Linked DNA regions of Astyanax mexicanus. The protein of the gene in region 1 purifies or fractionates together with the protein of each later gene. This does not show direct contact. Links are inferred from orthologs where the notes say so. Each region holds a gene or a part of one and is shown in the gene's direction. Other genes may lie near its edges.

Region 1 (7,426 bases):
CAATCAGATCTCTGATTTATATAAAGCTACTGATATTTCTATTTGGGGTTAATTGGACCCCAGAATTTTAAACCTTCAGAAAATTATTAGAAATACATTTTTACAGATTATGTCATGTTATATGTGTTTGTTGACTTATTATAATTATTATTATATTCTTTACAAAAGACCTCCCTGTTAAAACATCTGGTTTTAAAATGTTCTTGACCCCAAAGAACATTGATGCCTACAACAGATAATAAGAGGGTATAAATACTGTGTTTATTAAAGAGAGTTTGTCGATTTCCTAGACTCAAATCAGGAATAACCCTGGACTATATCCTGTTTATTTTACAGCGAAAAAAAAGAAAGTTAAATCCATGTCCTCATGTGATTCTTTGAGCAATGCCAATGAAAAATCACTTTTATTTTTGATAATATATAGAATTATAACCTTTTATTATTTGAATTTTCTCTAGGTGGCTTAAAAGAGCGCCATTAAGAAGCAGATAGACTTCATGCTAAAGTACAGCTTTTAAACATGGTGGAGGTAGTTTCATACACTCTTACTGTAAGTAAGACCCCCAAAGTAAAGTACAGCTTTTAAACATGGTGGAGGTAGTTTTACACACTGATAAAGATCAGGGTTCTATTCAGTACAATAAAGTTAAAGCTAAACTCTAAGTACCTCTACTCTATTGTTGTAGCATAAAGGTTACAGCAGGTTCTCTACTCACCGACCAGGTACCCCTGCCTGCTGAACTGCCTGATCCTCTTCAGCTCCTCCGGGCTGAGGTCCTCCTCCGTCTCCTGGGCCGCGAGGCGCAGACGCTCCGCCCGCCGGAACAGCCGGTACGGTGTTGGATTGATGATGGGAAACTTCAGCAGGTTCAGTGTTGTTCCTTCATAAACAAGGATGAAAACAGAGTGTGTTCTATAATAAGTGTATAGTTCTATAATTACAGATACTACATAAATACTGTATCTACTGGAGTATTATTTTTACTACTTCACTACTGTACTTGGGTACTAAAATCCTGTATCTATATCTACTGAAGTATTATTTTTACTTTACTACCATACTGAAGTACTAAAATACTGTATCTGTATCTACTGGAGTATTATTTTTACTTCATTACTGTACTTTAGTACTAAAATACTGTATCTGTATCTACTGAAGTATTATTTTTACTTTACTACCATACTGAAGTACTAAAATACTGTATCTGTATCTACTGAAGTATTATTTTTACTTTACTACCATACTGAAGTACTAAAATGCTGTATCTGTATCTACTGGAGTATTATTTTTACTTCATTACTGTACTTTAGTACTAAAATGATGTATCTGTATCTACTGAAGTATTATTTTTACTACTTCACTACTGTACTTGGGTACTAAAATCCTGTATCTGTATCTACTGAAGTATTATTTTTACTTCACTACTGTACTGAAGTACTAAAATGCTGTATCTGTATCTACTGGAGATTTTCAGTATTTTAGTACTACATTTTACAACAAACTACTTGCAATACTTGAGTACAGAAAACGTTAAATACTTTAGTACTTCCACTTAAGTGTAAAGCTTAAAAAACACTTCTACTTAATTCACTTTTTTGACCGAGCACTTTTCGTTTTACTCAAGTCAAGGTCTCTAGTAATAATTCAGCACATAAAAAAACGATTAAAAAATAAACTCATCTAAAATATGCAATGAAGTATCATTAGAGTACAGATACAGTATTTTAGTACTTAAGTAGTGAAGTAATAAATAATACTTCAATAGATACAGATACAGTGTTTTGGTACCTAATTACTTAAGAAGTGAAGTAAAAATAATACTCTAGTAGATATAGATACAGTATTTTAGTACTTAAGTACAGTAGTGAAGTATTTCTTCATCTCAACTACACATTTTTGGTCAGAATGTTATGGTGAGTGTGTGTGTATATCTTCGAGAGAATATATATATAATATATATTACCTGGCCATGGAGAAATGGTGGCTTTGTGGATCACGTCTGAGGCTCTGGACTTGCAGTAGTCAGACTCCAGCAGGGTGTTGAACAGCGTAGACTTGCCAGCGTTGGCGGTGCCAACCAGATACACATCCCCCTTATACTTCCAGGACATCTGCAGCCTGGTGATCAGGTTCTCTATGCCGTACCCAGTCTTAGCACTGATGAGATGGATGTCTTTTTGGTCAGTGATGGCTACACCTGCGTCTGCACAATACTGCGCCAGCTGCCCTCTGATCCTCTTCAGGTAGTTATCTGTGTCTCCAGGCAGCAGGTCCACTTTGTTCCCCAAAATCACCACATGCTTGTTTTGGCCCACGAGTTGCGGCAGGTCTGGGACGATGGAGTCTGGGAGATCCAGAAGATCCACGATGAGCAGCACCAGCGCTTTCTGAGACTTTATTTTACCGACTATTTTCCTGTATTCCTCTTTGGACATTGTGACATTCAGAGCTTTCTGGTGGTGGACGAGTAGGAAGCAGCGCTGGCACACCGCCTGCTTTAAGGAGTCCTCCTCGATCAGCTGTTTGAACTTCTCGCTGGGGAGGTACCCAGGTACTTCAGGGATGGTACAGTGCATCAGGGCACCACAGCCGGTGCAGCAGGAGTCACTTACTGGAACTTCTGCGTCCGGCGTACCGTAGACTTTATGCTCTTGCTTCTTTTTCAATTTCTTCTTATTAGATGACTTTTCCAGTGGAAATCCCTCGTCGTGGAACTCAATGGACGCCTCTTGGTCCACCTCCTTGGTGGCAACATCTCTCAACGACTTCAATTGAAGCTCCAAGGCCTTGTGCCGCAGCTCTGCGCTGGTAATCTTGGGCGCTTTGTCCTCTTTGACCTTCATGGACTCAGTTACGCGAAGATGCTCTGGAACATCTTCTTGTTCTTGGTCCTGAACATCAGAAAACTCAAGAAAAGCAAACTCCTCCTCTTTATCTGGCTCTACAGAGGAGTACACTGCTTTGGTCTGATTAGGATGTAGAGTGGAAGATAATGAAGATGATCCTGATAATGACTGAAGTCTTTCTTTATGTATTTCAGTTCTTTCAGAGTCTTTTAAAGTCACTGTCACAGTGGTGTGAAATCTTAATCTTAAGCATTTAGTCCTGTCAACTGAAACACAGCTGTTTCTGCTACTTTGAGACAGAAGACCCGAGTAAAGGTGACACCATCTTCTGTTTTCTAGCTCTGACACACGTTTTAAACATTTAAGAGACGAAAACTGAACCGCAGATAGCTGTAATAATTTAAACATCGTGATAACATAAGCAATATATATCAATAAACCGATATAAACATTTATACATTACAAAAAGAAATCTCAGATCAACTCACGAACACACGTGAACACAGACAGGAGGAGTGTTTTCGTCTGTCGCTGGTAAAAGACGTCATCAGTGTTGTGTCGATTTCTGCTACCTGGTCAAAACTTGTTGCCGTGCTGTGTATTTTGTAATAATTGGGATAGCAAACGAGATTTGAACAACGATGCTTTCAGTAAAAGTATAGAAAAAATATTTGTTTAATTTATTATGATAAAAAACAACATATAAATATGTAAAAGCGTGTCAAATTGTGTGCGTAGAACGACTGAGACCATATATAGCTCAATAGCACAAATCGACAGAGCACCGGATGCTAATATAATGACACTTACGCTATTTTCTAAAAAAAAAAGAAGAAGAAGAAAAGTATTTAATCGCCAAACTGTTTTATTATGTTTTAAAATAAAGTATACATATACAATACAATAAAAAACTAGTAATAGTAATAATTAATCAACGTGTCTTTTTTTACTTTACTGGATTGTGTAATATATTGTAAATAACTGACATAATACATGAATTCAAATCTTGCATTAAGAATAAACAAGTACGATTTGATTTTTTACATTCAAAATAACTAATTATAAAATATTTATATAAATAAAATGTTGTAAAATAATATATGAATGTTTTTTTATTTTATTGGATTGTGTAATATATTGTGTACAATTGATATAGTGCACTAATACAATACAATATGTAACACTAGCTTAACTCATTATCATTAGTTATTATGAAAAGAGAGAAAGAGTAAAAATATTTTTTGTTAATTTATTTTCTAAACAATCTATCATAGATGTTAAAAAATGCCGTATTTTTGGGGTTATTAACATTTTTTTAGGAGTTTTTTTATTGATATATTTTACTTAAGTAACGAAAAAATATATATTATTTAAGATTTTTCCATTTTCAGTATAATACTTTGCAGTAAACAAAAATACATAAGATTTGTTTATTTTTTATTAGTCAAAGTGACACATATGATTAAATAATTATATAATTGTAATTAAAACTCACACAAATCAATTAAAACCTTATTCCTAGTAAAAGCAAGAGATCACATATATGAACGTACAATTCGGTCGCGAGCACCAGAAGTGACGCCACGCGCGCGCCGGCGGCTCGGTGAACAGATACAGCGCGTTTTAACGGGACGTTTTTGTGTTTGTTTACCGTAAACAAGGCTGTAAACAACAGTAAACATCATGTATGATCAGGATGAAGGTTTGTTTAAAGCGCTGGAAGCTTAAATACTCTGTTCTGCTTCGTAATTCGGTTTAATGTGCTGTAAACTGCGCGTTAACACAACGTAGTTAGCATGTTAGCTTAGCAGCTCTTTATAGACAACAGACTATTCTCTCATTTAAGACTCAAAATACTGGGATTTCTGCTTTATTTCAGTAATAAATGCAGTTTATTTTTCGATAATCACTCTTTAAATTATATCAGCGGGTGATTTTAAGCTTTGTTTGTACTAGAATATATAATAAAAAAGCGTATCTAGTTAAATAAATAAAGTTTAGGTAGCTAGCTGTTAGCTAACCTAGGCAAGTGTTTCAGAAGTTTGTAGGAATGTTGTGGGCATATTTTCACGTGTTTTTTTTTTATATTATTCATACTGATTATAGGACGGTTATCAGTACGTAATATATATATATAGTAATAAAAGTTATGTCTTGTTATTGATTGCATTTTACCAATATGATTTATTTCAGTAAAATAAAAAATATATCTCTGTTTCAGTTAGATTCTTGTAGTTACTTGTTTGCACTCAGTTTACATGTTGACTGCATTCTGAATTGACCAATCGTATGCTCAAATAAACCTAATATATAATATATACAGCTCTAGAAAAAAAGGTTTGTTGGTTAATTTTTAATTCACACAAATTATTAAGGTTTTCTACTGGCTGTTCCTATATCTGCAGCACTTGAAATGTTTTAAAAATTAGAAACTGTTTTGCTATTATCTATAGGTAAAGATATAAAGTTTCTCATCTCCTGTTTGGGTGGGTAAGATCATAGCCTAAGCTGAGCTATAGCTACCTCTGGCCTTGATTAAACCAGATTTATTTGCTGCTGTTGATGCACTGAGAATCTGATAGTCTGCTGAAAATGTAGTTTAGTCTCTGAGAATAAACCTCTCCCTTTCTTTCTCCAGATATCCAGTATGATGAAGATGATGATGAAATCACCCCAGATCTGTGGCAGGAAGCCTGCTGGATTGTTATCAGGTAGATAATGTTGCTGCTTTAATACATTGAACTCTGTTATTTAAGCATTTTGTTCTAAATCAAATGTCCACTGGCCAGATGTTAAAAATATGCTTTCTCTTCTTTATTCTCCAGCTCCTACTTTGATGAGAAGGGCCTGGTGCGACAGCAGCTGGACTCATTTGATGAGTTTATTCAGATGTCTGTTCAGAGGATCGTGGAGGATGCTCCACCCATAGACCTACAGGCTGAAGCTCAGCACACCTCCGGAGAGGTGGAGGAACCGGTAAGTTAATGCCGAATGTGATTGCACATATCTAGCATCTGTTATTATAATAACAATAATATAATAATTATTAATATTATTTTATATCGCCCACCCCTAACGTCAGCTTTGTTTAAATAGTGTTTTTTTCCAGTGATTTTGTACAATAGGTTATCAAAAAAAGTTAATTGTGACAGGCCTAAACTCTGTTTTTATTCATCAATAAAACATAAAATGCTGTTTGTGAAAGTTTTTTTTTTAATGTGATTTTTTTTTTTTTTTTTTTTTTTTTTTTTTTTGTAGCCTCGGTATCTGCTGAAGTTTGAGCAGATCTATTTGTCCAAACCAACACACTGGGAAAGAGATGGAGCTCCATCACCCATGATGCCCAATGAGGCCAGACTCCGAAACCTCACGTGAGTACAACAGCCTTTGGGGGGCGTGTGCAGGTGTGATGGATCATAGTATAAACCAATAAACCAATAGGGAGTCGGAATGGTATATGTTTAGACTTCTCTTCATCCAATCACAATCAGATTCACTCTATCTGGATGGAGAGATTTATCTGGATAGGGGTTTTCTTGAACGATGAGAAGCCGGAATGAAAACCAGCTGAAACTAAATAGGTTGTTTTTATTAAAATGTAAGGAGTAGAAAGTTCAGATAATTATGTGAAAATGTAAGAATAAGATGTTAAAAGTTGTGTGATTTATTGTGTAAAATGCTCTGCTGGTTCAGGTACTCGGCTCCTCTGTACGTGGACATCACCAAGACCATCATAAAGGAGGGAGAGGAGCAGCTTCAGACGCAGCACCAGAAAACCTTCATCGGCAAAATTCCCATCATGCTCCGCTCCACCTACTGTCTCCTCAGCGGCCTGACGGACCGTGATCTCTGTGAGCTGAACGAGTGTCCCCTGGACCCGGGGGGCTACTTCATCATCAACGGCTCCGAGAAGGTCAGGATCTGATAGCTGATTTCATCTTATTATAAATACCACTTTATCATCGTTTATAAATGTTTCATATACTCTCTTTTTGCTCTATTTAAACGTTTAGATTAGATATTTTGAAGACAAAATCCAGGTTAGGTTGCAGATAAATGCCTAATGTGATTTAAATATGGAAGTTACCCGTGCCTTCCCAGCTTTAAAGAAATAGAAAAATAAATTATATTTTATTTACTGTAATGATTAACAGTGCTTTTAGTGGACTTGTTTGTGGCTGGCAAAAAAAAAAAAAAAAATTTGATGAAAACGTTCATTGCTTTTTTTTTATTGTAATTTGTTTAAAATTTCTTTTTTTTTTATTTATACTTTCAGTTACTTTAAGCACGTTATTGACTTATCATACAATAAATGGACATGACCTCAATAATATTTGAGAATTGTGGTAATTAATCATAATGTTGACTTTAAAAGGGTATGCATGCTTTGTTTTGCTTTTTTGTAATCATTAAATCAGTGCAATTTATTGGTCTTTAATATGCACAGTAAAATTGTTTCACAGTAAACCACAAAATATTGTTATTTTGACAGGTCTAGTTCTAGGGCTTGGTGATTTATTTAAATTGCATTTTTACTGATATATTTGTTTTTTAAAGAATTGTGAAAACAGTAATTGAG
Region 2 (7,456 bases), on another chromosome or scaffold:
AGTTACTGAACACTAACCTACCTAGTCAGTGAGTTAGCTAGTTTACCTAGGTCATCTGGTCAGTGAGTTAGTGGGTTAGCTAAGCTAGTTAGGTTACCTAGTCAGTGAGTTAGCTAGTTAACCTAGGTTATCTGGTCAGCGAGTTAGCTAGCTACTTAACCTAGGTCATCTGGTCAGTGAGTTAGCTAGCTACTTAACCTAGGTCATCTGGTCAGTGAGTTAGTGGGTTAGCTAAGCTAGTTAGGTTACCTAGTCAGTGAGTTAGCTAGTTAACCTAGGTTATCTGGTCAGCGAGTTAGCTAGCTACTTAACCTAGGTCATCTGGTCAGTGAGTTAGCTAGCTACTTAACCTAGGTCATCTGGTCAGTGAGTTAGTGGGTTAGCTAAGCTAGTTAGGTTACCTAGTCAGTGAGCTAGTGGGTTAGCTAAGCTAGTTATTATGCCCCAGGGTAAAGCCAAGTAAGTGCTGATTACGGTTAACTAGCTAACTCACTGACTAGGTAACCTAACTAGCTTAGCTAACCCACTAACTCACTGACCAGATGACCTAGGTAAACTAGCTAACTCACTGACTAGGTAGGTTAGTGTTCACTAACTAACTAGTATAATTTAAGCATGGATATTTAGCACACCCCGCTAACATGAGCATCTTAATAGAGTTAAACACTTACTTAAAAAAGAAATATAACATTAAACATAACGTCTGTATGAAATTTAATTGGAAAAGTACCTGCTGGTGCTGCTGTGAGCTGAACCCCGTTCGCTCCGCCATGTTTGGAAGAGCGCTTGAAGCTGGCGGGGTGGGCGTGTTCTGTCTCAGACGAGGGTTCAGGGTAGGTGACCAATAGAGATTAAAGGGGAACGCCTTCTTCTAAGCCCCGCCCACCCGTGAAAAGTGTGCCAAAAATCAGAAGCAAAAAAATGAAGCAGAAGCAAAGGAGAGATTCCAGAAGCAAAAGTCTTTAGCAGCAAAATCCACAAAAATCCACAGAAAATCCAAAAAAATCCAAAAATGAAAGCAAAGACTGGCAAAATCCAAACTAAAATAATTTTCAAATAAGTGCAAAGAATAATAAAATAACCAAATATATTTAAATATATATATTTGATATATATTTTTTCTCTTTTGAATTTGCAACATACATGTTTTACTTTTGATTCTTAAAATTTTGATTGTGGATTTTATTTTTTTACGTAAAACTTTTGGCACAAAATTCACTCCATACACCATGACCAACCTGGCCAAAACAATATGATCAGTTTGATGACCAGCTTGTTCCAAGAGGGTCCAACACCATGACCAATCTGACCATAACAATATGACCAGCTTGATGGCCAGCTTGTTCCACAATGGTCCAACTGGCCACAATAATATGACCAGCTTGGTCTATGAGGGTCCAACACCATGACCAACTTGGCCAAAAGAATATTACCAGCTTGATGGCCAGCTTGGTTCATGAGGATCCAACACCATGACCAACCTGGCCAAAAAAATATGACCATCTTGTTTCAAAACAATATGACCAGCTTGGTCCAAAACTATATGAGCATCTTAATGAGCAGCATGGTCCATGAGGATCCAACACCATTACCAACCTGGCCACAACAATATGACCAGCTTGGTCCCCAAGGGTCCAACCCCAGGATCAACCTGGCCAAAACAATATGACCAGCTTGGTGCAAGAGGGTCCAACACCATGACCAACCTGGCCAAAACAATATGACCAGCTTGATGGCCAGCTTGGTCCATGAGGGTCCAACACCATGACCAACTTGACCATAACAACGTGACCAACTTGATAACCAGCATGGTCCATGATGAGCCAACACCATGACCAACCTTACCATAACAATGTGACCGCATGATCCATAAGGGTCCAACACCATGACCAACTTGACCATAACAACGTGACCAACTTGATAACCAGCATGGTCCATGATGAGCCAACACCATGACCAACTTTGCCAAAAGAATATGACTAGCTTAATGACCAGCTTGGTCCACGAGGGTCCAACACAATGACCAACCTGGCCAAAACATTATGACTTGATTGGCCCATATGTGTCCAACACCATGACCAATCTGGCCACAACAATATGACCAGCTTGATCTAAAACGATATTACCAGTTTGATGAGCAGCTTGGTCCACATGGGTCCAACACCATGACCAATCTGGCCACAACAATATGACCAGCTTAATGACCAGCTTAGTCCAAGAGGGTCGAACTGCAGGAGAATACACAATAACTACAGGCTACTACAATACAAAACTACAGTTATATTATCTACATAATACTAAAACTTAATTTACACACATTTTAACTCGTATTTATGCAGTAAAAGACTCAGTGTGGTTATAAATGAGTATAATAAGCCCTGGTCTGAGATCAGCAGTCTGGTGTAAAGTGCGTATAAGAATTGGTAGAGCTGTAATGCGGGCAGATCCAGGGCTCGTGCGCTACACAGCACGCGGATCAGCACATGGGTAACCGGAATAAACAGTAATAATGCTACACCGCGCTGTAATGAATCTACACTAATGCAGAATATCATCCAGAACTCACTGCGGGGGAAAAGCTGCGGGAAAAGCTGAGAAACGCTCTGAGAGCCGCCGCTCAGCTACACGCCTCTCCTCAACACAGGCAACGCAGTTTACAACACAACTGTCCCTCCTCGCTCGCCGTAGAGCTGTGATGTCATGATGAGAGCGTCTCAAATCCAGTGGAAGTGCCCTACGTAGGGAGCCTCTCGACACTTGGGCATAAGTGTATGGAGCACAAGACATACGCATAAATAAATAGATACCTAAATAAATAAAGTGGTCTGTAGATAAATCAATAAATATACAATTATATAAATAAATACATAAATTAATAAATACATTCATTTTATCCTTACATATATAAAAGAAATCTTTCATCCATTAACTTTTATTTGTCCTGTTTCTGAGTTTTTACATTTATTTATTTATTTATTGATTTATTTATTTAATAATTATTTATTTATTGACGAATCTATTTATATATATATATAGCTTGTAAAATAGATAAACTAATAATTCTACTTATAAATAAACAAATAAATGAATTAATACACAATTATATGAAAATACATACGATTGTAAAATAGATAAATAAATAATTATATTTAAAAAATAATAAATAAATAAATAAATACACAATTATATTAATAAATACACGAATAAACAAATACACAATTATATTAATAAATACATGAATAAATAAATAAATACAAATAAATACATACATAATACCTAAATACTTCGATACATAAATAAATAAATAATAATAATAATAATAATAATAATAATAATAATAATAATAATAATAATAATAATAATAATTTTGTCCTGGAAAAGGTAATAATTACATTTATGTCATATCTTATATATTTTTTGTGGATTCAAAGAAAATTTAATCTCCCATTTATAGCCCTAAATACTTGTTTGTGTTTTTTTTTTGTCCTTACACTATATTTAGCTTAACTTAGCTTAACTTATAATGGATAAATTATTCGTATAAATAAACAAATAAACGAATTAATACACAGTTATATAGATAATTACATAAATACATAAATAAATACATATGTTTAGTCATTTATTTGTATTTATTTTCTTCACTTTTTTTTTTTTACGTATCACCATATTTCTTTATTTATTTATTTCTGTATTTATATGTTAATTAGTTAGGCGGTCCATTCCTCGCTGAGTATATTGTTAGTGGATTAAAAAGTGAATTTAATCTCTCATTTAAAGCCCCAAACTCTTGTTAAAAACAGCTTAGATTGTAAAGTAGATAAATAAATAATCCTATTTAAAAATAAATAAATACATACATTTTTCTTTTATTGTTTTATTGATGAATTTCTACATTTCTTCACGTATTTATTTACGTACCACCATATTTCTTTATTTATTTATTCCTGTATTTATATGTTAATTAGTTAGGCGGTCCTTTCCTCTCTGAGTATATTGTTAGTGGATAAAAAAGTGAATGTAATCTCTCATTTATAGCCCCAAACGCAAAACAAAAAATAAATACACAACTATATGTAAACAAATACATAAATAAATATATAAATAAATACATACGTACATTAATACATAAATACTTCAATAGATACATACATAAATGAATAAAGGCATTTTGTACTGAAAAAAATAATATTTACTTTTATATCAGAAATATATTTTTACATAATATGTTTTATTTGATTTTTAATGGACTGCGTAATATATTGTATAACAATACAATCAAATATTGACATATTGTCCAGCTGTGATCATAAATATATTACAGTCTCATGATGCTGTTGTGGAGACATCATCAGAAGGGGAAGCCATATCTCAAATCTCAAATCCTTCTGTTAACCCGGAAGCTGACTACATAGTGAACAGGGGAAAGATTTGGGACGCGCCCCCGCGCGATTTGTTTTGAAGGCAGAAAGCATGGACGCCGGGGAGAAGAGGAGAGTTCGCTCCTCTAAAGGCAGAAAGAAAGGCGAGTTAAAGCTGTAGTTTAATAAATAATGATGTTATTAATGTGGATATTAATGTTAAATATCTATATAAAGTATAAACTGTACAGAAAGCTCATTTATCTGGGTTAGTTAGGCTGTGGGTAACTGAACTCTGATGACTTGCTGGTTTCACTCTCAGCTCTGCTTCAGTTAATGAAGGTTTTTTGTGTATTTTTTTCCCAATTAAATAGTAATAATTTTAATAATGTTTTATTTATTGTGTGTTACAGGAGGGAGGGATCCTCCAGCCAGGTCAGCTGCTGAGGAGGCCAGGAGGTAAGATAATATAACTATAATTAAAAAAATATATAAACTCATATATTATTATATAGATGTAATAAACATAGAGTGATCTATTATAAGTGTTTATTTCTTTTATTGTTGATGATTATGGCTTACAGCCAATGAAAAAACCCAAAAATCAGTATTTCAGAAAATTAGAATATTATATAATAAGACCAATTCATACTTTTGGTACGCAGTGTGGTCAGTGTGAAGCCAAGTCCTGCTGGAAAATGAAATCCACATCTCTATAAAAGTTGTCAGTAGCAGAGGGAAGCTGTAGGATATGAAGTGCTGTAAGATTTTGTGGGAAAACTGCACTGCACTGACTTTATTAGACTTGATATTAAAACACAGTGGATCAACACCAGCAGATGACAGACATGACTCTCCAATCCATCTGTTAACAGGAGGGAGGTTCTGAAGGAGACGCTGAGGGAGAAGTTGGAGTTGGAGAGGAGGGCTCGGCACGTTGTGGAGCGTCTGCTGGACGATAGCGTGACGGAGGAGCTTTTAATCGACTGTGTGAGATTACCGACTCGAGCTACTACATGAATTATACACAATTAGAGCTATTCTAATCATACATTTACCTCAGCAGTGCAATTCTATTAGCAGTGCTATTCTAATCTTAAATACACATACGCAGTCCTGTTCTACTCACAAATCTACCCAAGTAGAGCTATTCTAATTATATATTTGTAGGGGTGGGCAAAATGGCCCTAAAAAAATATCACAATATTTCATGGTATTTTTGCGATAACGATACTCTAATGCACTTTATATATCTCCATATGTCTCAAAAGTGCTGCAGTTAAATGAATGATACTGGACATATATAATATCTAGTCTCTAGTAGATGTTAAATGGGAAACATCCCAGTGTGAATTTTTCTTTTGCTAAAAACAGCAAGGGATATGGCACAATATTTCAGGGTGTAAAATTGTTCACGATATTCAAAAATGTTGGCGATAATATAGTGTACGAATTGAAATGTCACACCCCTATATATTTGCCTCAGTAGCAGAGCAGTAGTAATGGTGCTGCCATTGCCATTGAGGTAAAGTAAACACTATTATATATATATATATATGCCTTTTTAATACATTAATTATGCATTATTTTCTTTATATTTTTATATATTTTATATATCCTCTTGAGACCCTACGTCCTCATATGTGGCCATTAAATTTCTGCTTCTCTGCACCCTGATAATAAATTATTATAATAATTTTTTTAAACGTTGACCCTTTGGCCTCATATTGAGATACTGCCCATAGCAACTAGTATTATACTCAATTGATTAAAAAAAAAAGATGGCGGGAATCCCAATCAAAAGTTTTTACAGCCAGTCCAGGCAGATAAATGGTCCAGGTAACAATTCTTATTGAATTTTATGTTTGAAAGTAGTTAATTTACTTACTGTAGAGTTGGGTCCTTCTGATCCCAAATGGCAAGAATATAACTGTCCCCATATAAGGACAAAGACGAAGTTTATATTTTATATTTGGTAGATCCTGCTAATCTCCAATATCTAGGATATATTAAAAATATACACTAAGCAAAAGTCTGGGTCTGAAGAGGATATTCACAAAAGTGTTTTATTTGCTGTTTTGGTGTTTCAGGCTCGACTCATCACTCCAGCAAACTATAAAGATGCGGTGGAGGAACGCTCCATCGCTAAAATGTGTGGATATCCTGTATGTCCAAACAAGCTGACCAGTGTAAGAACCTTATTTATAATAACGGTGATTAAGCTCTGAGTGAGTGTGCTGGGTGCTGGATCACTATTCAATATATTATTACTATACTGTGCTGTTTAGCTTATTTTGATTGGTTGATTTGTTTCTGTTTTCCTCTTTTACATAATACAATTTTTAAGGGAGGTTTTTGATCTTAATATATATATATTTTTTTTTTTTATTTCTGTGTATTTAATTAAATATATATAATATTAAGTATATATAACAATTAAAAGTGTTCAATAAATAAAACACATACTTTGTTTAACTCTCAGCAAAGCCAGACAGTTTTGTTTTCCCACAAAATCTTACAGCACTTCATGCTTCTTCCCTCTGCTACTGACAACTTTTATGGAGATGCAGATTTCATTTTCCAGCAGGACTTGGCTTCACACTGCCCACACTGCTTCGCAAAAAAACAGTTGGTCTTATATAATGTTCTAATTTTCTGAGACACTGATTTTTGGGTTTTCATTGGCTGTAATCCATAATCATCAACAATAAAAGAAATAAATGCTTGAAATAGATCACCCTGTGTTTAATACATCTATATGATACAGCTCTTCACCATTTCAAAATTTCTTTCATTTTACCAAATTGAAAACCTCTGGAATATAATCAAGAGGAAGATGGATGATCACAAACCATCAAACCACCAAACTGAACTGCTTGAATTTTTTGCACCAGGAGTAAAGCAGTATAAAGTTATCCAAAAGCAGTGTGTAAGACTGGTGGAGGAGAACATGATGCCAAGATGCATGAAAAAAAACTGTGATTAAAAACCACCAGGGTTATTCCACCAAATATTGATTATTTCTAAACTCTTTATGAATATGAACTTGTTTTCTTTGCATTATTTGAGGTCTGAAAGCTCTGCATCTTTTTTTT
Region 3 (8,012 bases), on another chromosome or scaffold:
TGAAAGTGAAAATGTGATAGAAAAGCAAGTCTTCTGACTACATTTTAGTTGTTGTTCTTAAATCAGATTCTTATCATGTTTGTGTCAGGTGTTTAATAACAAGAAGTGACAGTGCATCATTAACAAGCTCAAAGTAGCTCCACACTTCACTTTCAGAGTTTTCAGTTTTAAACGTCAGGGCTCTTGGAATTCCACCATTGAAGTGTAGAGCTACTTTGAGCTTGATAATGGTGTAAAAACAATGATTTCTTTGCAATTCCCCTAAAGATAGCATTGTAAGCCTTTTGGGAGCATTGGCTATATTTCCGAATGCTGGGGGTAAACGGAGAAGGGCTTTAAGTTGGTAATCTTTTCAAGTTTCACAACAATAACTAATCCTGCCAGGAAAATAACCTATGAGCTGTCTTGGCATTAAACCTCTATTTTTACTACTAAGTCAAAGTGTTATTTTAAATATTTCGTATCTGTTATATTTAAGTCTGCACATAATTTAACTGCATTACACAAAGTAACTTATTTCCTTCTCTTCAGATGTTTTCAGGTATGTTCACCCACTATGTCAAACCTGCTCTGACATTACAGCAAGCTGAAGAACTCTTCAGATTATTAGGATACCAGCCTGCAGACACCACTGAAGAGGAGGAGCTGAGGCTAAGTTCTAAACCAGTTCACGCAGACTCTCTTCTTCAGCTGGCTTGTGCTTTCTTCACTGCTCGCATGGAGTGTCAGCTGCTCGGCACTGTGGTTCCTTTGGGTAGTGGTGTGAAATGGGAACTACAACTCATTCGGGAAAGAAAGCTTGGCCACAGCCTGCAAGTTGCACTGGAGAGTGCAAAGAGAAAGCTGCAGCTTGCTCCACAGAGCTCGGAGCATGATACCTCCGCAGAGCTCGATTTATACACAGATGACCATCAGGATCCTGGAGAATGGCCGAAGACTAATCACATGACTGCACCACCCAACAGTCATTACACTCCACCCAAAGGGACACCACTGTCACTCAGGGCTACTACTCAGTCAAAGAAAGAGATTGATGAAAACACTAGTAAGACACAGCCTGTCTGTGTCTCAAAGATGACTTGCCAGATTAGTCCTCCGCAGAAGACAGAGTTGAGTCCAAAGCCACTGAAAACTGAGAATGACAATGAAAAGCAAGTTCCCACACTAACAGGTGGTGCACAGGTCAAGGTTTCAAAAGTGGATCCACAGATATGCAGGTGCTTTGAGTCGTATGACAATTATGCCTATTATTGTGTCCAATGTAAGCAAATTCATAACTTGGAATGTCAGTGGTTGAACAGATGCAGTGAACAAGGGCATGATTTAAGGAAGGTACAGCAACACGGAATGGATGTGCAACCACAACCCACACAAAACTGGGAAAAAGCCCCCAAAGGTAACCTGAAGATGCATAGCTGTATGCAGAGTTCCACCTCTGATGTCTTCCTTGTGTGCCACAACTGCCAAAATATCCATGATTTTCAGTGTGATGGTCTGAGGTACTGTCAACTTATGGAACATACCCTTCAAAAAACAGGAAAAGTACAGCCACCTCAGGAAGAGAGGGATGGGGCTGCCCCACCACGGAGGCACACATGCCTCAGGGCAGAAGATCAACCTCACATAGTGTGCCATACCTGTGAGAAAGTGCATGACTGCCTGTGCAAGGAAGTAGAGAGGTGCAGAGAATCTGGTCATTCGATGGGATATTTGGAGGTAGTGAGCAAAGAAGAAGTGCGCACACCTTCTAGGCCCATAACTTTCCACGAGTGCTGTACCTCAGAACCGCCCATCTTTGTTTGCGTTACTTGCAGAGTCTTCCACTCCATTTCCTGTGATATGCAGTGCTCGGGAAAACATGAAATGGAGAGGCTAAAAGCATTTTGCGCTGTATGTTCATATCATAAAATTCACACACTGTGCAAGTACTGCTGTGCCCAGTATTGCAAAAAATGTTGGTTTAAGAATCCCTTGGAATGCAAGTGTGGTATGCCATTTGAACACTCCGCTGTTTAAATATGTTGTTACAGTTATAGTTTACTTTCTTTGCTGTCACGTCAAAACATTGGATCTCTATTTTTTGCCATGTTTCATTTTTTAATCTGGCAGTTGTTTTCATTTTGTGCCAAAATTACACGATTAAGGGACCAATATAATGCTTTTTATATTAACTTCAATTGAAGGTTAAGGATTTTTTGTCTCCTGTAATGTTGCTGTTTTGTAAGTACAAGGGTTTTGCATGACACCAATGATCTGATTAAATGCACTTTGTCATATTTAAAACACCTATTATTTGTACTCTATTGCTACTGCCAAATAATTATTAAAAAAAACATCACTACAAATAGAAAACTGAATAACAAGAGCACAAAATTACCATTGATGTCTATTGTGTTATACGAGTTGTGAATGTTGTGACATCAGACTACTGACACACAGTCAACAGATTTTCTTTTCTTTAATAAGCCCATATATATAAGTGCCTATATAAATGTTGTCCAGATTGCTTTTTTTTTTTCTTTTTATAATATTTTGTTTTCACCCTTTTTTGCAAAATGAGGTGTCTGCTCTTTGGTTAATGCACAACTGTTGCTGCTACTAAAAATATTAAAATAAATAAAATAGGTGATATGGAATATTATGTTTGTCGTGTGTGATAACCCATTAGAATTTACAGTTCAGAAGTATTTGCTTTTTTTCTTCACCAAGTTCTAGGCAGGTAGATTGCAAATACTAACACATCTTACTTTCATCATTTACTGCTGAGTGTTTTAAGACCAGTTTAAAACTAGTTGAACCACTATCACATGTTTTTTTAACACTTGCAGGAAACTAGTTCATTTACCGGACAGCCTTACATTGCTATAAAGGTTTAACAAAAAAATACAGTATACAAAACATATAACTGGATGTCCTCAAAATAGCCAATATCGTATTTATACCATTAACCATTGGCTTTTTACACATGTAACCATTAATAGTTCTTAAAAGTTCTGTTAAATGTTGTATAAATTAGCCAAAATATTACACAAAGCAACTGTATTATGTAATTTATATTTTATGTGATTAAATGAATATAGACCATTTTTATCAGAAATAAGTCACTTAAAGCAGCTTCCAGACAAGTGTACTCCCAACTTTTAATCAGCAGATCTGCTATTCATTGTATTGTTCCCAGTTCACATTAATGAAAGTTTTACTGTCCATGCGGTCAACGTAAAGAACTCCACCGAGGTGATCCATCTCATGCTGCAGTATCCTTGCAGGCCATCCAGTTGCTTGCCAGGTTACCGACTCTGCTTTTTCATTTAGTCCTTTGGAAAGAAATGTTTATAGATGGTTATCACGATAGATACACTCTTCACAAGCTATACATTATAAGACTATAAGATTATAAGGTTGTTACCTGTGACCTGCACAGAAATATATCGTGGAACAGAGGCAGAGAACCCTGATATGCTTTCACAGCCTTCCTGGAAGGTGACCATCTCTCCATCTAAGATGCGCAGCTGTGGATTAATAAATATCTTTAAGGGAACTGGGACCAGGCCACGGGCCTTGATGGAAGCAGGTAGGCTGTCCTCCAGCATCTTCTCTGGATACTCCAGAGCTATGATCTGGAGAGGTACACCAATCTGGGGTGCACTAAGTCCCACACACTCCAGCCTGCGCATGACCTTCACCAAGGTTTTAATCACTTGCTGCACCTCTGCTCCTCCAATAGCGCTGGGCTCCACTGCTGCAGCCTTGGAGCGCAGCACAGGGTCGCCCACCTGACACACGTGGCTGTATGGAGGTTTTGGTGGGGCTATGACTTTTCTTTTGAGGTACTGAAGGTATGAGCGCGCTTTTTCGTTCGTGGTGTGTCTGCGTACAAGTGCAGGGCATGTTAGTGGACATGGGGAGGAAGTCCTGGGGAAGATCATAACATCATTGGTTGCTGCCTGAAATCTCAAGACACAGGGCAGCAATGTCCTCAAATGTCTGTTTATGACCAGCATCTCAGTGGTCAGGAGTGCAGCTCTGTTTCACCTGTGAATAAAAAAATGCAAGCAAGCTTTTATCATTAACAAATAACTACAGAACAATGCTGGTGTGCAACATCTACCTCTATAACCCTGCATCGCACCAGAGCACAAAACCGTGGCTGTGCTGTTTCATACACAGTGTCTGACCACTGAAATTTCAGCAGTACTTAAACCGATCAAAACCTACTACTTACCTTCACGATTCCCTACTCGCCCCTCACAAGGTCTAGCATGTTCATGGGATCCGGAACATGATTTTTCAAAATAAAAGTTCACATACTTGTGAACATCTCTGTAATAAACAGCACACACATTATATTTTGCATAGCACTTGCATAAGTATATCATTATTTTTATGTAGATTTGATTTTATGGGGGTATTTTTGGCTTTTTAAATTATGTTCTTAAGTACATTATTATGAAAGGTTATTGTGGTGACTTAGAGTTTCTGTCTTCACATGCTTTGTTCCAAAACAGAAGGCGTAAAAAATAAATTAGATTTATACATTTATTCAAGAGACAGTTTTTAAGGACATATACGGACTTTAAACGCTTGTTTGCTTATTTAAGTTCAAACTTTAATTCACAATCCTTGCCCAAATCATAGTTTTTTATGTTCTATTTACTTAGAAATATATATAAAAATATTTTATTAAACTATAGACATATGGATTATTTAACGTTATTATTATTTAACATAAACATTTCTTAATTTATACACAGATGTATTTTGTGTATACATATGTATTCATGTAATAGCTCACTCCAGTCATAGTGGGAATGTTACAGTTGTGTGAAGAGTGTATTGTTTTTTAAATAAAAGAAAAAAGAAAAGAAATCCTTGATTTTCAAATAAAACATCGTGTTAAACTGGGCATGTGTTTGACTTGTAGATCGCTGTTCTCTTTAGACATGCGCAGACCGAGCCTTGCCTCTACAAATCGGGTGCGCGGCGGGTCACGTGTCTTCGCTGTGTTTTTGTTGGGGGACGAACATGGCGCAGACGGACGGACATTGCTGAGGGGATTGCACGCACATAAGCAGAGGAATAATTTTGGAAGAGGAAGATTTTGTGCGATGCGAGTGTGAAATGGTCTCAATCTCGATTTGGACCGTTTCTATCGCCTCATTGATGACTAAAAGGACACCAGGGCTGAGGAATACGTTCACTGGCATTCATAAACATTTCTATAGGACTTCAAACCCCTGAGTGTGGTGGAGGAGGTGGTGGTGGTGGTGGTGGATATACCCAATCAATCTGTGCTTGTGTGAGATACAGGAGGCCCACGGGACGCAATGGCTGGAAATATGAACGCAAATTATGATCTTCCGCAGGGTGTAGAGAGGCTGAAAGAGGAGCACAGAAAGGTAAAGAAAGGGGGTTTGGCTTGTCTGTGGACGCTTTCGGTTTGTGTTTGTTTGCAGCTCGGCAAACATCCTGTTTACACTGTTCACATTACTGTGTGTTAATTCCACACATCTAACTTTGCTTTCATTAGCTTCAGCCGCAGCTGTTTGTCTGTTTTTAGCTAATAGTGAAGTTTAATGAAGTAAAACACCGTAGTTGACTCGCTGCCGTGTGTTGTAACCTTAGTGCTTTCTAGAAAGGGTCAGTCACGTGTTGCATGGCAGCTGGGGTTCAGTTAAATTAATATAAGGGCTGTGCAAAATCCAGAGTTTTATAATCTAAATTAGTTCAGAAAATGAAAATAAACTGAGTCCACCTTACAGGATGTTAAATTGAATTTGAGTTTGAGTTGCAAGAAGTGGAACAATTCATTCTCATTACATATGAATGAGAGTGTGATACTTTTAACATAAAGCAAAATTTTCTTTCAGATGGATTTTCAGACACTAACATTTAAGCATCCATTCCATTAATGTTACATAATTAATATAAAATATATTAATTTCAAACTAATCAAATGAAACTGTGTACTTTACAGGATGGCTAATGTTGTTTCATCTAATAGTCAACAGTTCCTCAGATTTCCTAAATATCCTAATTTGTAAGTTATTAGCTACAGTTGCAATGATTGGTTTTATAGACTATGTATTTAATGTTAATTTGTAATCCATTCAATAATATCTGTATTAAATTAATGTTGTAATCATATGTAACATATACTGTAAAGATTCAATGTTAAATACACCTTAATTGTGTATAATTAAAATCTGTGCGATCCAGTTCTATTTCATCTAATTCAAATCTGAATTGCAATTCTGCTTTCTGTTTGCAACCTCAATTCAAGAATTGAATGGAATTTAGAGCTAATTCTCAATAAAATCCTGATTTTTTTACAACCCTGCTACATGGCAGACCTATCTAGGTAAGCTATTAAATTTGCTGCCTAAATTTGCTAAGGTTAGTTATCATTAACTGTTCTACCCCTACTAAATAATATGTCATTACTCTCAATAATTTAACAGTAATGTGTCTAAAATAATTTTGCATTTAGCAAGGGTTAAAACTATTCTTAGTAAAGTCAATTTAGCAGGCACATAAAATGGCCATCTAGCTAACTACCTAGTAGTGATGCTTTCTACTTACAAAACTTTACAAAACTATTTTTGCCATGAAAAAAAAAATATTTAGATTCAAGAGCCAGTTAATAAAAGGCATATAAGGATGTTAAACACATTTGCTTATTTGAGATGTATGGACATTCATTTGAATGTATGAATTCTGAAGTGAAAAGAACACACTGAAATATTGTCTCTCCTCAAAGAAGAAACATTTTAAAAAGTATGTTTTTGAATAGATTTTAGCTAAATCTGTAATTAATACTTGATCCTCATAATAAAATGACCCAGTATGTTTCAGTGGTAAGTATTCTTTACAGGTGTATTTAGCGCAGAGCCCCTAAATGATCAAGGTTTGTAATACACACACAGTTTTGTTTTAGGCTCATAAAGAGTACTCAAGTTCATTTTATCTTAAAAATCATAAATGCAATCAAAAGTAGCAAGAATATCCTAGATTATATCCTGTGAGCTAGTCTGAAGAACAATGTTTAGTTCCAGATTTCTAGTGGATGCCCTCAGTCAGCATGTGCATGTGTTAATTTCCATCAGCAGTCCACTTAAAATAACATCATTAAGCTCTGATTTGCCAAACCAGGTGTTGATTTGATTATGACTATAAATAAGGCTAGACTTACACAAGGAAATTTACTGAAAATGTCTGAATGAACACTATAAACCTGTTGTTTGTATTTATTGTAATACTAGCCTTTTACTGAGCTAATAAATACTTACTGCCCAGATTAGAAGCCTTTTCATACTGTAATTCCCACTAATTAAAACTTTTGCACAATACTCTATATACTGTGTTTTGCCAGAAAGAAGCAGGCATAAACAGACCTTTCTCTTGATTTAGCACAATGTTGTTTTTGTTTAGAGTGGATGCTTTAGTTGCATTTAGAAAACAATTTACTAATTTGAGGGAACCATATATTTAGTTTAGGAAAGGATTTATTGTTGGAAATTGTTTGTTTTATATGTTTCATTGTGTCCATTATTCTGCAATGTTCTAAAATGACTCCTATGAACAGGTGGTGAAAGACTGCAAAGGACAGATAACACATTGGTGAGTGGTCCTACTGAAGATTCATAAAATGTTAGTCTATTTTCTTGTTTTGCAACTTGTTAAGGTAATTACTGCTATTTAAAAATATATATATAAAGTTTACTGTATACAAATAAGATCCATTGTACAGATGTTTAGTGTTTTGGCATTATAATTTTAGTATGTGAGTTGAATGGTTCCAAATGGAAATTGTGCTCTCTCTGGGAGGATGGGATGGCCCACCCTCAACATTCGGCTTGAAGCTAGTCAGTAAGGATGTCTGTTAACTTGCAGATAGGTCTTCTTTTTGTGTTCTTCTGCAACCGCATTTAACTGTCTAAAGCACGTTCTAACTTTCACCCAGTGCTGTTTGCATTATGAGTAATGTGAGATACTTATCTAACAAGTTGGAATTG
Region 4 (6,827 bases), on another chromosome or scaffold:
ACAGAGTTTATTCACCAGCTTCAAACAAAGTCAATTACAAACAGCCTTCACCACCTTTATTCAGGAAGACATTCAGCTCTGAGTCTCCGAATCACTACTTATACAGAAATACTGTGGAGTCTTAATCATAGCAGGTGGGGGCTGTGCTGGATAAACTTCTAAACTCTAAATAAATGAATATTAAATCTATGAATATAAATAAATATGAAATAATTAATCTCAGCACTCACAGGATTTGACCCTGGAACCAGCTTCCCATTCAGTCTCTGAACACATCGATCCACGCTGGCTTCATCTGCCAACTCCACGAAGCAGTACCCCGCTGAGCCTCTGGAGAGAGGGAGAGGAAGAGTGGGAGAAAGGGAGAGAGTGAGAGATCAACAGCACTGTGAGATTACAACCAAAACAACTTAGAACAATCTATTATTCACATATTGCACACAGGACATTTTGTTAAACATACAAATACATTGATACAGATTAATATGTTGAACTTCTTCTCTGAAGCAACTGCATTATTGCTGTGTTGCAAAATACCGTCAGAGAACACTTCTACCAATAGCTAAAGGTCAAAATTCTTACCCTGTGACTCTGTGCGTTATGATTTTCACACCATAGGCCGTCTCCCCCATTGTGCTGAATGCCTGCTTGATGAAGTTTTCATCCATGTATGGGTCCAGCTGTAAAATAAAAGCATAAAACTAGTACAGAGCTAGTGTTGACTAAAACAATTAAAACAATAAGAATTCTAATTTAAAGAAAAGTGCTTAAAACATTCCCTTTATAGCCTTAGGCTATTTAACTGTCATTATCCCTCTGTTCCATATAGGGCTGCATGACATACGAAAAACTGACAGTACAGTATATATTGCCATAATAAAAATACAGGAATTTCACCAGAACTGATCCAAAATGTAAAGATAATAATAATGCAACCTGTGTATAAGTGATTGGAGTGAAATTAAAACTATTGGGTTGATACTGTTAATAAGGTTGATACTGCCAACCATAACAACTCTCATAAGCCATGTTTTCTAAAAAAAAAAAAAAAGAGTTTATTTGAGAAGGTGATTATTTTAAGAAGGTATTTTTATGTAGTTAATGATTTTTTTTACTTACACAGGTATTTGCACAGACATGTGCATCTCTATATTTAAGGTACATAGACTAACAAGGTTAGTTACAATTGTAAATTGACTTCACTAAACAGCTCTGGAAAAAATAAGGGACCACTTAAAAAGAAGAAGTGAAAACCTTAGTGGAATATAATCAAGAGGAAGATAGATGATCACAAGCCATCAAACCAAGCTGAGCTGCTTGAATTTTTGCACCAGGAGTAGCATAAAGTTATCCAAAAGCAGTGTGTAAGACTGGTGGAGGAGAAAATGCCACGATGGATGAAACTGTGATTAAAAATCAGGTTTATTCCACCAAATATTGAATTCTGAACTCTTAAAACTTTATGAATAAAAACTTGTTTTCTTTGCATTATTTGCGATTTGAAAGCTTTGCCTTTTCTTGTTATTTCAGCCATTTCTTTTTTCTGCAAATAAATGCTCCAAATGACTATATCTGTATTTGTAACTTGGAAGAAAGTGTCCGTGGTTTATAGAATAAAATAACAATATTTATTTAACTTAAACATATACCAATAAATAGCAAAATCAGACAAACTGATTAAGAAACTGAAATGGTCTCTCTTTTTTCTCAGAGCTGTAGATTTACAAATTTGTAGCTTTAACTGAAGTAAGCCAGACAGACAAATAGCATATTAATCTATTAGTTAGCTAGTTAACTACTTGTTAAGCCTACAACTCAGGGGTGTCCACATTTCTGTGTAAGCTAGCTAACTATAGTTATTTGTAAAGTTTAACTTTTGTGACTTCTGCACTAAAAACTAGCTTACTAAGCTCGTAGCTTCAGTAAATCTTATAGAAACGTCCCATTTCACTTTAAATATCTGATCATGAGAGAACCAGCAGCTGTTGGTTTAAGGTGGAACGGAAATAAGAGGCTAACTTTACCTAACGCTAGCTAACGACATAAAGCTATGAGCTTTATGAGAGCTAGTCTCACATTCCTGTCAGAGTTGACTCAGTTTAATATAAAATAAACAGATATATCCAGGGTTAAGTAAAGATAACGTGTTAAAGAGGTAAATATAGTTGTTTATTAGCTAGTTACGCTAGGCTAAGCTAGCTCCTTGCTTAACTCAGTCAGTAAGCTAATGCTACGTAACGTTAGCACGATGCTAACTCGTGTCTACAGCTTCATAACCCACAGCAGTTAACCGCTGTATAATTAAGAGTTTTAGAGTTAAAAGTTCGGTTTAACACTCACGTCCCCCATCCACAGGCTGGTCATTCGGTTAAACATGCTGCTGCCGGTCCGCACACTGACCCTAAGCCTGAGTTTAAACTGAAATAAACTCGGTGTGTGTTAAACTAGCTGTGTTACTCAGAGCAGCCTGTCCGGCCTCTCCTCCCCCTGTGTGTATGTTCAGTGCGGGATCATATACGGGGAGAGTAGCGCCCCCTACCTACCACAGCCACAGCACTGCGCCCTTTACAGTTAAACGGGTTTAACAGGACTCCGATTCGCTTTCGGTTTTCACCCCTGATGCAGTTTATTTAGGCAGGTGTGAATGCAGTGAATACAGGTGGGAACAAGTCACAGCCAAAATACAAACATATAATTACACATTTGATATTTATACAGTATACAGCTCTGAAAACAAGGCACCACTTTAAAATGATCCATATAATTTTGCTAGTAAAATTACCCTTGTGGTTTAGTTATATAAACCACTGATAACATTTGCAAATACAAATACAGTTACAAATACAAATATTGTCATTTAGATCATTTATTTGACGAAAATGTCAAAAATTGTCAAAATAATGTAAAAGGTACAGTGCTTTCAAACCCTAAACCCAAAGAAAACACGTTGATATTCATTTAGAAACAACAATCCTACGTTCAGAGATCAATATTTGGTGGAATAACCCTGATTTTGAATCACTGCTTTCATACATCTTGGTATGCTCTCCACAAGTCTTTCACACTGCTTTTGGGTGACCTTATTCCACTCCTGGCAAAAAAATGTTCAAGCAGTTCAGCTTTGTTTCCAATGCGCAATTCCACACAGCTAGATCAATTAAGGTGTGGATGAAGGACCACCCGATCAAGACAGTCTCATGGCCAGCCCGATATTTAGCCATGAACCCTAATAAAAAAATATATGGAATGTAATCAAGAGGAAGATAGATGGTCACAGGAAATCAAACAAACTGAACTGCTTGAATTTCCGCAGCAGGAGTGGCATAAGGTCCCCCAAAAGCAGTGTGAAAGACAGGTGGAGAGCATGCCGAGACACATGAAAGCTGTGATTAAAAATCTGGGTTATTCTACCAATTATTGATTCTGATCTCTTCCCAAGATACAACTTTAGTATTGTTGTTGTTGTTTTTAAATGAATATGAACTTGTCTTCTTTGCATTATTTGAGGATTGAAAGCCCTGTATCTTTTTCCTTAATTTGACTATTTCTCATTTTCTGCAAATAAATGCTCTGTTACAATATTTATATTTGGAATTTGGGAGAAATTTCGTCCGTAGTTTATAGAATAAAACCCCAATGTTCGTTTTAATCAAGCATATACCTATGGATAGTTTAATCAGAGAAACTGATTCAGAAACTGAATTTATTTACTTATTTATTTTGATTTATTTATTTATGACACAGAGCTCCACTGCCACGCTAATGACGTAATGACGTTTTTGAGAGTTTTAGCTTCCCACAATGCAGCGGGGCCGTGCTTTAGCAGTGTGGTATCGCGGAGGGAGGGACAGACAGACAGTGAGCTATGAAGCGGAGAGACTCCACTGTCCAGCCCTCGCTGTCCGCCTGACACCGTTCATACATCCACGAGCCGAGGATCACCTTACCAATATGCGGTTCCCGTCCGCTCCGAGCGCCCGCCGCGGTCTGTGAGTCCCCGCTGAGCCCGCAGCCCCGAACCCGGAGGGTTTTTCCCCCGTCGGCGCGTCGACTCGCTCCGAGCAGGCAATGACAACCGCCTCGGCGACCCCGCAGCAGATGAGAGACCGGCTGCTGCAGGCCATCGATAGCCACAGCAATGTGAGTAGCTGCCGTTAGCCGGCCGGCCGGCGGCCAGCCAGCCCCGGGGGAGAGTGCTGAACTCTGCGGGTACTCGTTTAAAGCACCTCACCATCACACTCCTGAGATCCTCCAGACTGCGAATACACACCGCGTATCGCTTTGCGTAGATTAAAACGATAATGGACATGGATAAAGTTAGCTAACTAGCTAGGTTAGGTAGCTTCTCTTCACATCTTCTCCGTTCCACCTTAAATAACGACTGTTACTAGTGCGGCAGTCACACTCAGGCGCTTCAGGCTACGCGTTGAAAGTGCAGCACCATTTAAGGTGGACTGGAAAAGATCAAATGAGAAGCTGCTAACGTTAACTTGCCTAGCGTTAGCTAGCTAGGTTGGTGTTTAAAAGATGGCAATTGATCCAGCTGGCTAGCTGTTAGCCAAAGTTGGCGAGCGAAACGCAAAACTTTGGCATCACCGTTTAACACCTTTATTAACTCAATCCGCGCCTTCCCGCGATATAATAGCGGCCACATCGTTTACTTTCCCCTCCATAACAAAAGCTTCGTTTGCCTTCTGACACAAGTTACACAATGATCACCGTTAGCCGCCAGCTAGCTAAGCTAACCCTGCTAACGCTAACTAGCCATGCTAAGCTAACTACATCATTTTCAGACTTTGCAGAAAAGTTGTACTTCTCAGTTTCCCCTCACAACTACACAAACACGAATTTTAACATATACAACTGTTTAAAACGTTCAGTGAAAGTATGTCCACACCAAATAAATGTTAACAACTTTGCTAGCTAATCTAACTAAGCTATGTAACGTTGGATAGACGGTCGCCTAGCTTTAGCCACATGGCTAACTGTTAGTTAGCTAGCGCTAGCTAACTTGTCTTGGGCTGTATGTCAACTTTTTGGAAAACCGCGATGTTTTTTTTAAATAACAAGTTAGATCTCGCTGTCAGACGATGTTTAAGTTAGTTAAATTGACACTCTGTTGATGCTAAAGTGAGTACAGAAGCTTACAGGACAATAACTACGATTTTAAATCGTCTAAAGTTCTACCTGAACGAGATTAAGTGCTGTTAAGCTAGCTGTCAGTTCCCAGGTACCATTAGCAACAAATAAGGATATTTCATTACAACACCTAAACAAAGTTGGCTAAAGATATTTAAACTAGCTAACATCCAGGTAACATCAAACAGAGGACTATGACACTCAGCTAGCTTACGAAATCTAGAGTAGTTTAACATCAGGTATTGCTGTAAGACCGTAGCTAACTTTGGCTTGTGTACTGTAGCTAACATCTAGGCAACAATTGAAAAAAAAAAATTACATAACACCACTGACATCAGTTTTGATGAGAATTGTGTTAACATTAAACCAACACCAGCTAAAGTAGTGTAACATCTAGGCAACAACAACTAACTGACATCAGCTAAAATAGTGTAAGATCTAGGGCTGGATATCATTAAAAAAAATCAGTACGGATGCCCAAACAATACTTTTTTTGTAGATTGTAACCATACAAAAAGCGATAAATATTCTCACAGAGCATGTATTTAACAGACAGAGACATGAGAAAATTCATTCTCATACGGTCACCATGAGAGACTGCCATACTTTTGGATCTTGTTGGAATAATCAAACAATGAGCATGTTGTGTCACACGCCAGTTTAGAAGTCTCGAAAAACGGGCACCAGATTACATTTTGGTACTCTGTATTACAGAGATATTTTGGTCAGTACCTTATTGGTACAGAATTTTGATTCCCAGCCCTAGTAACATCTCACCAATTTCAGCTAGAGTACTGTAACATCTAGGTAACAATGTCTAAAATCTAGGTGAAAATCTCACTGACATAAGTTAGAATAGTGTAACAGCTAGGCAACAACCAGTAGTAAAAATGATCATCTAAGTGGAATCAGATAGATTAGTGTAACATCTAGCTGACATTAGTTAGAGTAGTGTATGTAACAGCTGGGCAACAAAGAATAAGTTTAGGTAACATCTCACGTACATCAGCTTGAGTACTGTAACATCTAGGCAACACTGGCTATAAATATGCAACATCTAACTGGAATCAGATAGATTAGTGTAACATCTAGGCAACATCAGCTAATTAGTAAAACATCTAGCTGACATTAGTTAAAGTGTTGTATGGAACAGCTGGGCAACAAAGAATAAGTTTAAGTATAAGTAACATCTCACTTACATCAGCCAAAGTAGTGTAACATCTAGGCAATAACTAATGGCTAAAATGATGTAAAATGTTGTTAATGTAATCTAGAGTAGAATAACATCTCACACATCGGCTAGAGTAGTATAATATTAAGACATAACAGCTAAAATGTAACATCTAGCTGAAAATGGATAGAGTAGTGTAACATTCAACAATTACTTATATAGTGTAACCTCTAGATAACCTCAGGTAGAGTAGTGTAACTTCTAGGTGACACATAGAGTATTGAATTGTTAAACCAACATCTGCAGTGCTAAGCTAGAGCAGTGTAACGTCTACTATGGAAAGTAGAACACGTCATAACTTCGTCCACACTGACAAGTTTGGTAGAACTGCGCAACATGGACACAAACCTTGAGCGACACAGCTATTTGGACAGTGCAGCATTGACTAGTTAATAGGACTATAGGCAATAGTAAATTGACAAACCAGAAGACAAATGTGCAAAGCTGCAGCACATCA

Evidence for each region.
Region 2: the proteins of polr2b (region 1) and rpap2 purify together in Homo sapiens (affinity purification with mass spectrometry; 3 studies listed by BioGRID and IntAct, with this or other methods). This does not show direct contact. The link is inferred for Astyanax mexicanus from reciprocal best matches to the Homo sapiens genes POLR2B and RPAP2.
Region 3: the proteins of polr2b (region 1) and uri1 purify together in Homo sapiens (affinity purification with mass spectrometry; 3 studies listed by BioGRID and IntAct, with this or other methods). This does not show direct contact. The link is inferred for Astyanax mexicanus from reciprocal best matches to the Homo sapiens genes POLR2B and URI1.
Region 4: the proteins of polr2b (region 1) and mediator of RNA polymerase II transcription subunit 26 purify together in Homo sapiens (affinity purification with mass spectrometry; 3 studies listed by BioGRID and IntAct, with this or other methods). This does not show direct contact. The link is inferred for Astyanax mexicanus from reciprocal best matches to the Homo sapiens genes POLR2B and MED26.

Annotation. Positions count from the first base shown.
Region 1 is NC_064426.1:1,740,845-1,748,270, forward strand, and holds the start of polr2b (DNA-directed RNA polymerase II subunit RPB2), read left to right. Parts: upstream 1-4,414; 5' UTR 4,415-4,530; coding exon 4,531-4,549; intron 4,550-5,485; coding exon 5,486-5,558; intron 5,559-5,672; coding exon 5,673-5,823; intron 5,824-6,105; coding exon 6,106-6,218; intron 6,219-6,540; coding exon 6,541-6,760; intron 6,761-7,426. Other genes in the region: noa1 (nitric oxide-associated protein 1), read right to left, coding at 717-881, 1,965-3,255. UniProt on the Homo sapiens protein: Catalytic core component of RNA polymerase II (Pol II), a DNA-dependent RNA polymerase which synthesizes mRNA precursors and many functional non-coding RNAs using the four ribonucleoside triphosphates as substrates.
Region 2 is NC_064411.1:55,060,753-55,068,208, forward strand, and holds the start of rpap2 (putative RNA polymerase II subunit B1 CTD phosphatase rpap2), read left to right. Parts: upstream 1-4,452; 5' UTR 4,453-4,473; coding exon 4,474-4,525; intron 4,526-4,774; coding exon 4,775-4,820; intron 4,821-5,236; coding exon 5,237-5,351; intron 5,352-6,451; coding exon 6,452-6,550; intron 6,551-7,456.
Region 3 is NC_064416.1:20,395,875-20,403,886, forward strand, and holds the start of uri1 (unconventional prefoldin RPB5 interactor 1), read left to right. Parts: upstream 1-4,987; 5' UTR 4,988-5,324; coding exon 5,325-5,396; intron 5,397-7,582; coding exon 7,583-7,617; intron 7,618-8,012. Other genes in the region: spata2l (spermatogenesis associated 2-like), read left to right, coding at 532-2,016; pdf (peptide deformylase, mitochondrial), read right to left, coding at 3,157-3,314, 3,407-4,001. UniProt on the Homo sapiens protein: Involved in gene transcription regulation. Acts as a transcriptional repressor in concert with the corepressor UXT to regulate androgen receptor (AR) transcription.
Region 4 is NC_064411.1:30,858,734-30,865,560, forward strand, and holds the start of mediator of RNA polymerase II transcription subunit 26, read left to right. Parts: upstream 1-3,806; 5' UTR 3,807-4,068; coding exon 4,069-4,140; intron 4,141-6,827. Other genes in the region: trnau1apb (tRNA selenocysteine 1-associated protein 1-like), read right to left, coding at 231-330, 583-680, 2,341-2,376. UniProt on the Homo sapiens protein: Component of the Mediator complex, a coactivator involved in the regulated transcription of nearly all RNA polymerase II-dependent genes.